Linked DNA regions of Arabidopsis thaliana. The protein of the gene in region 2 interacts with the protein of the main gene of each other region in a pairwise test. Each region holds a gene or a part of one and is shown on either strand. Other genes may lie near its edges.

Evidence for each region. Proteins that work in one complex are often made in the same cells at the same time.
Region 1: the proteins of CYP94B1 (region 2) and AT4G18340 interact in a two-hybrid assay, tested with the Arabidopsis thaliana proteins (one large-scale study listed by BioGRID).

What each region holds. Positions count from the first base shown.
Region 1 is NC_003075.7:10,128,060-10,135,858, reverse strand, and holds AT4G18340 (Glycosyl hydrolase superfamily protein), read left to right. Parts: upstream 1-3,666; 5' UTR 3,667-3,839; coding exon 3,840-3,912; intron 3,913-4,132; coding exon 4,133-4,469; intron 4,470-4,705; coding exon 4,706-5,414; coding exon of another isoform or gene 5,415-5,447; exon of another isoform or gene 5,448-5,539; coding exon 5,540-5,614; 3' UTR 5,615-5,809; downstream 5,810-7,799. Other genes in the region: AT4G18335 (uncharacterized protein), read right to left, coding at 6,496-6,990; AT4G18330 (Translation elongation factor EF1A/initiation factor IF2gamma family protein), read right to left, coding at 7,272-7,799.
Region 2 is NC_003076.8:25,406,583-25,414,040, reverse strand, and holds CYP94B1 (cytochrome P450, family 94, subfamily B, polypeptide 1), read left to right. Parts: upstream 1-3,315; 5' UTR 3,316-3,347; coding exon 3,348-5,054; 3' UTR 5,055-5,220; downstream 5,221-7,458. Other genes in the region: AT5G63460 (SAP domain-containing protein), read left to right, coding at 1-28, 118-221, 401-436; AT5G63440 (hypothetical protein (DUF167)), read right to left, coding at 5,846-5,905, 6,106-6,174, 6,303-6,391, 6,487-6,583, 6,660-6,813, 6,906-7,020. UniProt on the Arabidopsis thaliana protein: Hydroxylase involved in the oxidation of the plant hormone jasmonoyl-L-isoleucine (JA-Ile), a bioactive phytohormone of the jasmonate-mediated signaling pathway. Converts JA-Ile to 12-hydroxy-JA-Ile.

The sequences.
Region 1 (7,799 bases), on a different chromosome or scaffold from region 2:
AAGCTGTCCCCTAATAATATAAAAATTTGAACTTTCAATATAAATTTCTAAAATATTACGTGTCTTATCCTTTAATGTCGCACCCAAATTTACATACTTTTTATAAAATATTTCGAAATTCTCATTTTCTTGTCGTTAACCAAAAAAGATGGAGTAAAAAGAGAAACATACACATAGATTTAAGGCCCTTTTTACGTATGCGCGTCATAAATGAAAAACACTTTGATTAGTATAAGAACATTTAAATTTTAACTACTATAAAGAAAAAAAAAGCACACGTAAAAGCTTTTAGCCATGCATGCACGATGTTTACTGGTTATCGAGAAAGCATTATCGTTGTTGGATAAGACATTAACTTTCCTCTCCTATATGATCATAAAGCTTGTTTTTCTTCTTCATAAATCTTGCCGCTTAATCCTTATCCATTATCCACCAAAAATTCAATTTTGTAGGCAGCTTTATGAAATAATGCTTTACACCATTTTGACTCGATTATAAGTATTATATATATCCACTATTCGAAATGGCCCACGATATCTGTATTTTAATATGACGTCAAATATCTTATTTTGTCTAATGAATCCAAACTAAGTACAGTATGTGAATCTTGGTAATATATGTATATAGAGTTCAGTTCAAATATAAAATACAAGTGTATGACGTCAAAAAGAATTTTTAGATACGTTATAGGCTCATTATTTAACTATATGTTCACTTTGGTGCAGCTTAGTATCTTTTATGCAGATATAATTTGAATTTTTGATCTGGTGAACTATATATTGTTAAGTAAAAAAAAAAACATGTCGGTCCAACCCAACCTAGACCTGTCAAGCATGTTTAATGATGGTTTGGCCTGATCCATTTGTTAAACAGTAGGTAAAATTTGCAATCTTTTTTTTTTTTTGTTTTTTTTTGATTTTGCAATCTTCTCCCTTATCTACACTGTTCTCTTTAAGAAACCCGCTATAACACTTCCCGAATCATTCATGCGGGAGAATTCAAAGGTACCTTAATATTACCACCTTCAAACCAATTCGCACATGGTCCAAGTTGGAAATGGTTAACCAATTTAGTTACCTATCACTATCAAATTCCCACAGTTGGGTGTGATGCATCATACATTTGCAAATGTCCAACATGGAAATCCGAATCAAGTAAACCCTATATATACTCTATTTTTCATGCGTTAAAAGGGTTAAACCCTTTCTTTGAAGAAACTTAACCTTTGTTCAAAAACATTGATATCGTTGAGTACTTGTGTTGCTTTAAAAAGCTTTCATGTCATTTTATTTGCATATTCGATATTGTAAATAAATTGCAGATTAAATGGCATATTCTTTCAATCCGAGCTAAAACAAAATCATTCTCTTTTTCTGTCTGCTGTTTCAAACTTGCTGGACAATTATATGATCTTTCTGATTTGGACATTAAAATATCCACAGATAACGTAAACTTGAAATATTCTGCAACCAAAAATATGTCCATTCAGTAAATAATTAACAAACTAGATCATATTCATGAAGAACTAAACCAGAATCATTAAATTTAAACATTAGAAATAAATTAAAACTTGTGTCATATACTCGATAATAAATCAAATTATCTTTAACTTTACACATATAGGCCTATATAAAACAATCTGTTCGGCCGTGTATGGTATATAGTTACGTCATTATCAAATTAATCTATATGGAACTGCCATAAGTCGACCGGTGGTCAATCCTAAGCCACGAAATCAAACTTTTAAACGACGAACTAAAAGTTTTCAGCCAACTATAAACAGGCCACTCTGAATAATTGACTGATTTTGACTCCTTTCCACATATTTAATTCCAACATCGAACGATTACATTTTTAATTGCAACAAGTTCAATAGCTTGAGACGGGTATATTTCTTATAAGTTGTATACATGTGTTCAAATAAAATGGCTCTTGGTGTCGTGAAAAAGAGAGAAGATTTAATATTATAGAATCGAAAAGAAGACACTAGGGTATTTTGGATTAGATCAATACAGCCAAAAGTTCCACTTTAAATTAATGTAATTTTCTGGCTAGCCAACCTTTCGAGAAAACGAATTGACTATCGTCTACGTGATCAAGTTTAACCCTTTATATTTTACCATTTAAAAATATAGTAAGTAGAAATTAATTGATTAACAAATCAATAGCCAACCAAGCGAAAGCACTTACTATTTCTTAAATAAGTTTTGTTGGGGTTTATTATGTCAGGTGATTAAAAAACAACCGATGGTTGAAATTGACCGACGGCTCCAAGTGTGTGACACTGCCCCGCCAACTTGTCTAATTCCCCTCGAAAGCATATTAGCAACATTATCCCAATTGACCATTTTATTTTACTTTTGTTATGCTAATGCTTTTAGTTATTTGTCAATTTATACATTATCATATTTGTCTTGTTTTATTTTACAAGTGCCTCAAAATTAAGCATGATCCTTTTGTCTAAAGGAAAGTAAGTATATCCCTTCTCTATCATCTTAATCCGAATAACAATATATTTGAGATTTTTTCTTGACAATTAATGGCAAATTATATTACGACTTATATATCTTTCACGAATACAATTTTGGATATCCCGTTCTTGATAACTTTCGAGGACTTGTATGAATTTCCGTCCAAAAGCCTCGGATTACAAAAAGAAAATAAATATGTGATATATGTTTATTTGTATGTATTATATTTCCCGGGAGATTTGAAAATATTAAACTTTAAAGGAGAAACGGAGGAGGCTTCCTCAGTGTACTATTGAATCCTTTGACACGTCAAGTCAAATCGGATCTCCAATTAGCTTTTGTCTAAAGAAATATAGTAAGGTTTGTTTGTCATATTAATTAGGCTAGGATACACTTGCGGTCAAGATTCATGCGAAAATGTAATCATTATTCTTCGAATTTGAATTAGCATTAAATTAATCATAATTAACACGTGATTAGTAAAATCAATGATTCAGATAAATTAGATAATAATATTAATAGTAGTAAAAGTTAATAAGAAAAATAAAGACCATTTTTGTGGGACTAATAACCCATTATAAAATTTCTTTTGTCATGAAGTTTTAGCTGAAAATTTGATATTTTACCTTTCATGATTATTCTACAAGACATGATTATCTATTAAAATTTCATTGTGTTAATATTAATTTTTATACCACGTCTTTTTCTCCATGATTATCGTAGAATAAACTTTTGGTGTATAGTACAAGTTTGTTTTAAGTCACGACTCACCTACTTAATTGAAACGAATATTTTAATATTTTCCGGTGCTTTATGAAACTTCTTCAATATTCTATACACGTCCACTTATGTGTATCCCAATCTCTTCTTAATTTAATAACATTGCTCACTTTTTTTACCAACCCAACAGTTAACACCACTTGTATAGTACATGTAATTAAACGAAACACACAAACAACGTATTTCCTTCCATACATGTGCATGCAAATTGTCTTGTCATAGAGTCTGCATTAATCTAGCTATATGATAAATAACTACATACAAATATTTTAAAACCTAATAATTTTCTTTAATAAGAAATCCTTCGTTGTGGTTTATAGAAAGCCGTCAGTGGATAAAAAAGGCATAAATGAGAAAAGCAATATAGGGAGGCAAAGCTAAACAATTTAAAAACACTTTTTTTAAAAAACATAAACTTCAACACTAAACCTTTTCACAACAAAAAACACGGAAAAAAAACAAACAAGCGAAGAAAAGTATTCTTCACCTTGGTTGGCTTATTGTGTATGTCTATAAATATTCCATTAAACACTTCTCTTAAAACCCAAAACCTTCACAATCTCTTTCCCTCCCTCTCTCTTCCTCAACATGACATCAAGAACATTCACAAGACATTCCAGTCTCATTCATGTTTTTCTCCTGCTTTCTCTCGTTTTCTCAGGTTATTTTCTTTTTCATTCTGAAATTTTAAAACCAAATTCTTAACACTTAAGTTATGCTTTACGTTGCCGCCTTAAAACCTCAACGTGTAAGATTTTAACATAGTGAAATAACGGATCGATAATAAGTCTAGAATTCATTTTTTCAATGTTTGTTTAATGGAATATTAAAGATTTTTGGCATTGTTTTCTAAAAGTTCGATTCTTTGTTTGGAAATATAGGGAATATACTACAAACAGTAACGTCTCTTGGCATCAATTACGGACAAGTTGGGAACAATTTGCCTTCACCGGATAAAGTCATTAACCTCTTGAGATCTTTAAGGATCACAAAAACAAGAATTTACGACACTAACCCTCAAATCCTTAGTGCCTTTGCAAATTCAAACATCGAGATCATCGTCACCATCGAAAATCAGGTTTTACCATTACTACAAGATCCTCAACAAGCTACCCAATGGGTAGATTCTCACATTAAACCCTATGTTCCGGCCACTAGGATTACCGGAATTATGGTCGGAAACGAGCTTTTCACCGACGACGACTCTAGTTTAATAGGGTAAGTACTAATCGTTGAATATTAGTCTAATTTGTTACATGATCACAGAATTAGTTTTTTTTCATTAACTGATTTCACATTTTCTTGACTACCACTTGGTCAAATGTAACGAACTCCTTCGAAAAAAATATTATATTTATTAAACTCCACTTTGAATTTCAATAAGAAATGAGTGTAATAGTTTTTGTCCAATAATTGCTAATTTTGACTATATTCTCTCCTCTTTTTGGTAATAGATACATGATGCCGGCGATAATCAACATCCACAAAGCCTTGGTCCAATTAGGTTTAGATAGATACATTCAAGTCTCGTCTCCAAGCTCTCTTGCCGTCCTCGGTGAATCTTATCCTCCATCTGCCGGAAGTTTCAAGCCGGAGGTTTCCTCCGTGATGCAACAACTTCTAGATTTCTTGGAAGCCACGAAATCTCCTTTTTGGATAAATGCTTACCCTTACTTTGCCTACAAAGATAACCCACAAGAAATCCCAGTCGATTACGTTCTATTCAACCGTAACATCGGCATGACCGATCCCAACACAAGACTACACTACGACAACATGATGTATGCTCAAGTTGACGCAGTTGCTTTCGCGGCTGCGAAACTAGGGTACCGTAACATAGAAGTTAGGGTTGCGGAAACAGGGTGGCCTTCAAAAGGAGATGTCGGAGAGATTGGAGCGTCTCCTGTGAATGCTGCCACGTATAACCGGAATCTTATGATGAGGCAATTCGCCGGAGAAGGAACTCCAGCGAGACGGAATGCAAGACTCGATGTTTATATATTTGCGTTGTTCAATGAAGATATGAAACCAGGTCCTACTTCGGAGAAAAACTACGGTATATTCCAACCAGATGGATCATTAGCTTACAATTTGGGATTCTCTACAATGTCGACAACGACGGCAAATTCAGAATCTGTCACTTATTCATCCTCTGCCACTAAGGTACGATTAGTATTATGTGGTGAATTTTGTTAGAATTTGGAATTATTGGGGCCACGACGAGAATAAGTTTGTGAAAGGACTAGATGTGCAAAATGAATTAATTCTCTGTTTTCTTCTTCTTTCAGGCAAAGAGGAGCTTGGAGTATTGGACAATTTTGATATTGGCGATGGTTCAAGTTGTAATGTTGAGACTATTTTAGAGGAAAAGTTATTGACAATATAATAACGCGATTGTTTAGGATATTTATGTAAACAATTTAATTATAAGCTTGATAAATATAATTTATATTCAATTCAACATTCAAATGAAGTCGGTCAATAGTGAAAATTCTAAATTTATTGTTGTCGTTAACAAGTAATTGACATATATAATAAAGAAACAAAGTTTACTTTTTAAGAAAAACTTGTCGTATATGAAAAGGTTTGAGTAAGTAGTAACTTTGACCAAAAGGCATATAATCGATAACCAGTAGCGGTTTAGAATCAACCATATATTTTTTTCCCTCTAATTCAAGAAATATGGCATAGCTTAATTCATTTGTATATGTTGTTGGATATTTTAAATACAATCCCTAGCTAGTTATATAATATAGATATTAGAATGCAAACATATGCATTGGAGTGGACGGTACGAAGAATTGGAACTGAAGCTAAGAAAAAAAAGCCATGAAACAAGAGCTTATGCTCACGATGCAAATTCACATGCTCATTTCCAATTATATCGGCTCAATATACTCCCTTGTTCTTGCCACAAACGATGCGTTTTGACCTTGAAAACATAGACACATATGCTTTTTTCTCTCCATATATTATTTTACCGATCAGTCAAGTTTAGTTTTATAGAATAAAATAATTCAGCTGCACGTAAGGAAAAATAAGTACTTTCTGAAAAATCAAAGGACACGAACAATCAAACATTAGTATGCAAATTATTTTCATACACTTGACCGTCAAAAATGCACTGATCAATGCACCGGTCATTCCGAACAAAAAAGAAAAAAAAATCTTTAAAAGATGAAAAATACAAAAGTGCGACGAGAGGAACAAAATCGTTTCACGTACGACGTATCGGCAACGATATCTAGGGTTGTGTAGAAAGATCGCAAAAGAGAGTAGTAGCGGAATTAGGGTTCTGGTTATGGCATGGAGATGAACCGGAAGGAGGTACGAATCCTTTGGGAAGCATAACCGAGAAAGTATCCTGTCGAACCGGACGGTTTAAACCGTTATTCTTCTTGGCCATCATCTTGAAGTAGCCAGCACGATGATGAAGACCACGGCGATGACGAAGAGTATGTCGATAGTAGTAGTAGTATTGGTGATTGTAACGACGACGACGGTGGTTGTCTCGTTGCAACCGCTGGTTCAAGATAAACGGTGTCGTTTTCTTGATGTAGACGAGTTGGTGCGGTGATTCGTAACCGTTGAGATAAGCTTCCGTTTTTTGTGTTGATGATACTCTTGTTTCTTGATTCGAAGATGATGATGATGGTGAGATGAGGAAGACGAGAGTGAGAATAAGAGAGACGATGAAGCTTTTTAGAAGACTCTGTTTCATCAAAACCAAATCTTCCATTGGGATTGAAAGAGAGTATAGGGTTTTGGCTGAGAGTAAGAGAGAGCGTAAAGATGAAACAAAAGCTCAGAACGAGGAGGGAATTAGAATTATATAATTCCTAATTAGTGATAAGTAATATCATTAATGAAATTATGAATTTGTTTTTTAAATTTTCGTCAATGTTGTGTTAAATATGAATATAGTTTTATATTGTAGTCGAAAGAAAGTGATTAAACATACAAAGGCACATGTTAATTATTTTTGAATGCAAACAATATAAAAAACTCATCACTACTTCATTAGAAAGGAGGAGGAGGAACATCGATGGTGGTTCCAGCCATAATCTGACCCTTACCAATTAGACGCCAATGCCTATCGACACGTCGGCTTAAAGCAACCTTCTCTCCTATGGTGGTACACACCGGAGACGTCAGTTGGAGTTTCACCATATCTTTCTTGACTCCAATAACCTTAGCTCCCGTAGACATAGACCCGATGTTCACCATCAATATCTCTTCTTTGGTTAGCTTTGACACTTTCATTTGCTTCTCTTTTTCCTTTGTCCTCACTCCAATGAGACGAGTCAGAAGCTGGTAACTTACTTCAAGCTCAACAAAGACGTCAGGGAGAGTACCCATTTCACCAAGGACTTGACCAACCAACCTATCAGCACGCGTAAGCGTAGGGTCCATGGTTGTTCCAACTCCGATTAGACCTCCCGGTACAGCAAACTGAAGCTCGTTCTGTTCCGCGTATAGTGAAGTTATACGCGAGTAAATTGGAGTGCATTTTGAGTTTCCATGCTCATCTTTGCCAGTGATACCAGG
Region 2 (7,458 bases):
AAAAGAGCTGCTAATGCATCTAGACAAGGTTATCTCTTTATACCTTTAATTCTATTTGATTTAATTTTCAAGATCGTATGTCACTTGGACTTTAAACAATGAATTTCTTCTGCACAGAAGGATCAAGCAGTCGCACAGGCGAAAGAGACTTTCAGTCTTTGACCGTTGAGAAGCTCCGCGCCATGCTCAAGGAGAAGGGCCTTCCAACAAAAGGAAGAAAGGCAAGTCACAATATATGCTACTGTTCTTTTTGAAAACTCTGTTAAAATTGTTTACAGCTTCTCAGTCTTGTACTCTCAATAGTATCTTAAAGAATCTGTCGTATGGGGTTGCTTCCAGTTCTTTGTTTATCGTGGCTCTTGTTCCACTGATTGATTATGGAACTTGACTGGTTTTGCAGGATGAGCTCATTGCGCGTCTGAAGAGTGCCAACTGAAATGAAGTTGAGAAGGGTGCTCTGGTGAATATATGTATCTTTAGAGGTTTCCCAAATAGGAGAGAATTGTTGTTGTTCTTGATCAAATACAAATCCTTTTGATCTCATCTGGAGAATTTGTTATCAGGAATTAGGCTACTTTAGTTTATGAATCCGGTTTGGTGACATTTGTAATATGGATTTCATCTTTTGATAAAGCAAACCAAACCAAACCAGGCGGTCTTGGTTAATTAAAAATGTGATGGAATTGCTTTGGGGCTGGCTATATTAAGTACAACACTATGGTCAATAGTTTAAAATCAAAGAAGAATTATAAGGCAAAACAACATTTGACCCGCAAGTGAGACATGCAAATTTTCAATTCCTGTTCACCTACCAAAAAGTGAAACCAAAATCCTTTTGTGGCGGATTTGATGAAAAAATTACAAACACAACCGTTGTATATTTTTGGTTATTAGGAGATAAAACGAAAAAAGAAAATAAATGGGGCTAAAATTTTAGTTTTATGGATTAGACTTTAGTATTTAACCGTGAAAAGCTAGTGTTGAATTTCTAAATTATTTATTAATTTTTTAAAAAAATTGAAATAATTTCTTATTCTTGATAGTAAAATGATGTCTATTTGATATAGTACCTCTCTTTTCTCCCTTTCAAAAATGAAAACAAAAGCATCATAAAAATTAGTGCGAGTCAAAACCACGAGTCTCTTGGACGGTGAAAATGAAGTTGTGAGAACGAAAAATGAAAGAGAAAGTACTTTCAAAGAAGGGCAATTCTTCTCTTTCTTTCTTTTTTTGTAGATGTCGTTATGACAAATAATTGTGTGTCAAATCAAAGCAAAGAATGGGACACTTGTGGACATTTTCTAATAAATAAGTAGAAACTCGTTGCGATGCTTTTGGTTCAGAGCTCTTGTACTTAATGGAGCCAGTTCTCCGAACGGCGCCGTTTTCTGGTCACAACGTGACAGGCTCACACCAATCTTACATATTTTCACCATATTTTGCATATGAACTAATTAATTAACCATTGGTTTTCGTTTTTTCACTCCGCATATCATCAATTATTAACGCCGGACTACAAAAGAAATGTATGCATCATTTTGTTTATTTTATAATCAATATACATAAACCACTATACCTTTCTCGTCTATTTTAATGAAATGAGTTAGTTAAAAAAGATTACTAGATAGATATTTTTTTAATGAGTAGGCAAATAAATATGAAATATCTAAAACGAAATAAAGTATAGATGAGACAAAGAGGTAAGATTGTATTATTTTTTAAAATGTGGATGATTTTCAGCCAACACGAGCTTAAAAATAAGTCAATGGAACTAGTTCCGACTTTTTTGCTCTATGAAAGAAACTCGATTTTCAAACCACGTGAACCACGTGCACGAAAACTGATAAAGATCCACTGAACTAGTAGTCACAAAAAGTGTATTTTTATTTGTTGTTCTACATACATAACGTTAATAATAATCGTGCATTCAATTGTTTCAAATTTCGGCTGAAGAATTTTATCAACGTGTTCGATCTTATCCGACACATGTCTGGTATTGGCGGATTCTCCAACCAATACTTTGTCGTCCTCATGTAATGAATTATTCGTCTGCACGCAAAGAAATTACACTTATTTAATTTAGAACTGTGATTAAATTAATATTAGAACAAACATATATGCTAGTGAGATACAGTAATCTTGATTTCAATAGTTCACTAACTTATCGACACTAGATATAGCAACAAAAATGTTGGTAGCTCAACCGATTGTAAGGATATTGTTCTAGTTGTAATCCAAATTTAAATATTGTTTAGAAAGATACACAGATTAAAAACAAATCAAATTTTATGTCCGAATTCGAATTTCGTCTTGCAAAGAGATTCCAATGTGTTTTGGTTACTTACTTTGGTCTTTGGGCATATATGCGGATCAACTCCTTAAGAAACGAAGATAATATTTATTGCAAATGCTGAGTAATTGAGTATTATATATTATTTGATGATTCCCTTGATTCAAAAAGATCTCCTAAGTATCAAAGTTCATTATTTGTCAGATCATCACTTATGTCATCACGGGCTGGACATAATTAATGATTAGAATAACTAATACTACTAGAGTTTGTTGTTTAAGTGAAAGATTCTGTTACTATTCCAGGAAGGGGCAAAAAGTTTTAATACAAGCAACATTTATAAGTTCTGATGAGAGACCACTTAACTAAATACAGTATAAAATATATTTATAATTGTTTCGTTGATGAAAATGTTTAACCTTTTCAGCGTTTGAACCGTGTCTATGTCTCTTATTATTAGTTTTGGCGGGAGACTTGGCCACCGGTTCGGTGGTAGTGGCTTGTCCAAATCAACTTAATTATACATCAATCTTCATTTCTTTGGTCCCTGTGTGATTGCCATGTTGCGTCGACATTTACTGAAAATATGTTTCAAAAACGTTTTAATTAGCTTGATTATTTCTTCCAACTGTTTAAGCAAATAAACTTGTTGATCACGTGTAACTTTTATTAATTTGATCATATCAAAGAGGATACCAAATTTTCTTATTAATATAGCCAAAATCCTTAACAATTCCAATTTATAATGGCCAAGTCCAATGTATATGTATCTATACAATAGTTCTTTACAAAAGTAGCTTATATGTTTGACAAAAGAAAAACGAGCTTACACATTTTCCATTTTAATTTTTTAATCTTTTGACGATGACATTTTCTCCATTTTGTTAAAAAAAATGAATGAAGGTGTTTGTTCATTTTACTCAAAAGTCAAAACAACTTGTTTTTTATAAATCAAAATTAGGGTTGGGATCCGACTTGAGACAATACTAATTAAGGTAAACCTTCTTAAATGAAAAAGCTTTATCGCTCAAAATACTAATCAAGTTTCAATAAAGAAATGAAAGAAAGCTTTATTAATTATGTCGTGTTCTGTACCGAAGTGATATGGTCGGAGCCACAACTTTTATTCTGTTTTTATTCTCCTATATATATAATAGTTCCTCTACAGATCAAGAACACAAATCAAAACAACATAATTAACTTACCCAAACAAGAAACCCAAGAATCCAAAATGGAAATGCTCAACGCAATAATTCTCATCCTATTTCCAATCATAGGGTTTGTATTAATCTTCTCATTCCCAACAAAAACCCTAAAAGCCAAAACCGCATCACCCTCTAATCCGACATCGTACCAACTCATCGGCTCTATTCTCTCCTTCAACAAAAACCGCCACCGTCTTCTCCAATGGTACACAGATCTCCTCCGTCTCTCTCCGTCTCAAACCATCACCGTCGATCTCCTCTTCGGTCGTCGGACTATCATCACTGCAAACCCTGAAAACGTTGAGCACATTCTCAAAACAAATTTTTATAACTTCCCTAAAGGCAAACCTTTCACCGACCTCCTAGGAGATCTACTCGGCGGCGGAATCTTTAATTCTGACGGCGAGTTATGGAGCTCACAGCGTAAACTCGCGAGCCACGAGTTTACAATGCGTTCTCTTAGGGAATTCACTTTCGAAATCCTCCGTGAAGAAGTCCAAAACCGCCTCATTCCGGTGCTTTCCTCCGCCGTGGACTGTGGAGAGACGGTTGATTTTCAGGAGGTTTTGAAGCGCTTTGCTTTCGATGTTGTATGCAAAGTGTCGTTGGGTTGGGATCCGGATTGTTTGGATTTGACCCGACCCGTTCCAGAACTTGTTAAGGCTTTTGATGTAGCGGCGGAGATCAGCGCTCGCCGCGCCACGGAGCCGGTTTACGCCGTGTGGAAAGTAAAGCGTTTCTTGAACGTAGGGAGCGAGAAGAGGTTGAGAGAAGCCATCAAGACCGTACACTTGTCTGTGTCTGAGATCATCCGGGCCAAAAAGAAAAGCCTCGATATCGGTGGTGACGTGTCGGACAAGCAGGACCTGCTGTCGAGGTTTCTCGCCGCTGGCCACGGGGAAGAAGCCGTGAGGGATAGTGTAATCAGCTTTATTATGGCGGGAAGGGATACAACGTCGGCAGCGATGACGTGGCTGTTTTGGTTGTTGAGTCAAAATGATGACGTGGAGACGAAGATACTCGACGAATTGAGAAACAAAGGGTCTTTAGGGTTAGGGTTTGAGGATTTGAGAGAGATGAGTTACACAAAAGCTTGTCTGTGTGAAGCAATGAGGCTTTACCCACCAGTGGCTTGGGACTCAAAGCATGCAGCAAACGACGACATTTTGCCAGATGGAACACCTCTCAAAAAGGGAGACAAAGTCACTTATTTCCCTTACGGTATGGGAAGGATGGAGAAGGTGTGGGGTAAAGATTGGGACGAGTTTAAACCAAACCGGTGGTTTGAGGAAGAACCGAGTTACGGTACAAAACCGGTTTTGAAAAGTGTGAGTTCGTTCAAGTTTCCGGTTTTCCAAGCCGGACCAAGGGTTTGCATAGGTAAAGAAATGGCTTTTACACAAATGAAATACGTGGTTGGTTCAGTTTTGAGTCGGTTTAAGATTATACCGGTTTGCAATAACCGGCCGGTCTTTGTTCCTCTTCTAACCGCTCACATGGCTGGTGGGCTAAAGGTGAAGATCAAGAGGAGAGAGCAATGTGATTCGATGTATATTTAATTAATTGATTAATCAAGTCATGTCCTTGTAGAATATCCAACTAATATGTAAAATGTGTGGTTTATAAATTAAATCAAATAAATATATTATATATGTGTGGGATTCACAGTTTACTTGTGAATAGAAAAATTAAATATAAATCAGTATGTCGTCTTATCGAAGTGGATGCAATATATTAATCAGTTTGATAGACATAGGTCACGCATTAAACACTTTCTGGAAGTATATGTATGTCTCTAATATTAATAAATAGAGATTGGGGCAGATATATATAATTACAAACTAGCTAACTGTGTCTGTGACGATTGGTCCGATACAGCGATGAAATAGAACTGAAACATGTGAAACATGTCACAGTACAGTCACCTTTGGACTACACAAATATATCTTATTCTTAAGCTTAATTAGTGCAATAGTGATCGTTTTATTCTGCAGATTATACACTGAAAATTTGTTTTTAATAACAGGTTTTTGAAATTAGTGCAGACATATATATAAAGATTTTCAAACTTTTTTTCATATGACTTCAATTTCGAATGGTCCGAAATAGATAAATCAGTTTTGAAGGAATCTAAAGAGTATAGACGATTATTATAACTTTTAACAATAGGGGATTGTATAAAAAGAGTTAGTTGTCGCATAAGCATGAAAACAAAGAAGAAAGCAATTTGTTTATAGCTATCTTTCTCAAGTAAAATACGAAAACTCGTTCTTCATACCAATAAAGGGTGTTAACTAAGGAGTTGCAGAGATTTCAGCTAATGTCGTTCACCAACCACAAACCGCAGTTTTTACGGTACAACGGCCTCGAGAAGCTTCTCATACACTTGTCTAGCTGATAAATCCTCGACCTGGTTCAGGGGAACAAAAATCAGAATGGGTTATTCATTCAATGCGACAACCTATTTTTGATCACCACTATTAGAGGTCCTTGTGCCATTAGTATAAAAGCCAAAACCTTATCATCTAGAGCTAAGAAAAACAATAAGAGTTTTTAGAGATGAATCTTCACAAAGTCTTCTCAAGAGACTCAAAGGAAGGATCAACGTACCACGAGGAGTTTTGATTTGCTATTCCAACCTCTTTGGAGAGTCATCTGGCTCAACCTTAAACCAAGAACCTGAAAGAGTAAAAACACAGAGGTCGTGTCGCGTTGGTCAAAAAACCTCATTTTCACATACAAAATATGAAACGCCGTGACTAGAGTATAAATCTTAAAAAGTGATTAATAACGGATTGATTTGGTACCCTTCCCATGAATTCCAGAAGCTCGTTGTTAGCTTCCCCACGGGCTGCTGGTGCAGCAACAGTCACACGAACATCATCAGCATTTACCCCTGCAGAGAGAAAAAAGAGTATGGCAATTGTTTAATCGAAGATCCATGTCAAGTGAGTAAGAAAATAGATTTTGTGCCATAATACTATGTTTTACTTGTGATTGCTGAACGTTGTGCACGGTCTTCCACTTCTATTGCAACCTGAACAAGTCCACCGTCGAGTTGTGAAATGCAGGGAGGTACTGGTGCATCCTGTGTGCCGCCACAACAGATTAGTGATCTAGTTTTTGATCTTGGAATTGAAAAGATTATAAGAAACCAATTGTACCTGTGGGTTGGTTTCTGCAGCAACAGCACTAAGTGCTCCATCAACAATGTAAATGAAAGACGCTGTTTCCAGATTCTCTTCAGCACGATAACAAACAAAAAGCTCACAACCGATACAGTTCATTCTAAACTGTCTCTCCATTTTTCCTTCGCCACTGGTAACAAACCAAACATAAAGAAACAAACTTTTAGATAAATCGATGGTTAAATCCAAACACTGGCTCAGTAGCTCTAGACCAAAACTTACCGTTTCAATAAAACTTTTCCTCCCTCGCTGACATTCAACCTAGCAAGGTGCGTCTTCTTGTCAAGTACATTCGACCTGTCGGTCTTCCTTTTTGGCATCTTCTGCAACTGGGTATCTTGTAAAGGATCTAAATTAGTATACAAGCAATATACAAGGATACCATAACTTTGCATGTTACACTCTTAATCGGATAAACGACATATTTCACCACTTAAAATCTTAGCTTTTAAGTTCTCAAGGAGTAACCAAGCCAATGAGAAAGATTCAGGACATAAGTAAATCTACAGAATTACTGGAAACATGCAATGAGCTACAAGTCTTAACACATTCCAACTTTTTAGTTCACAAACGAATATCAACATTACCAGAGTAACAAAACCCCAAGAATCTAAATCGAAATCATGTAAAAATCTGTGCTTGGACCTAAAAAGTAGTTTGTTGTTAATCTAAATTCAAAGCAAGAAGTTATCCACCACTTAAAAACTATAAACTACTATGACCTGATGTTCAAAGTAAATCAAAGATTGAAACTTTCAATCATAATTCCCAATCA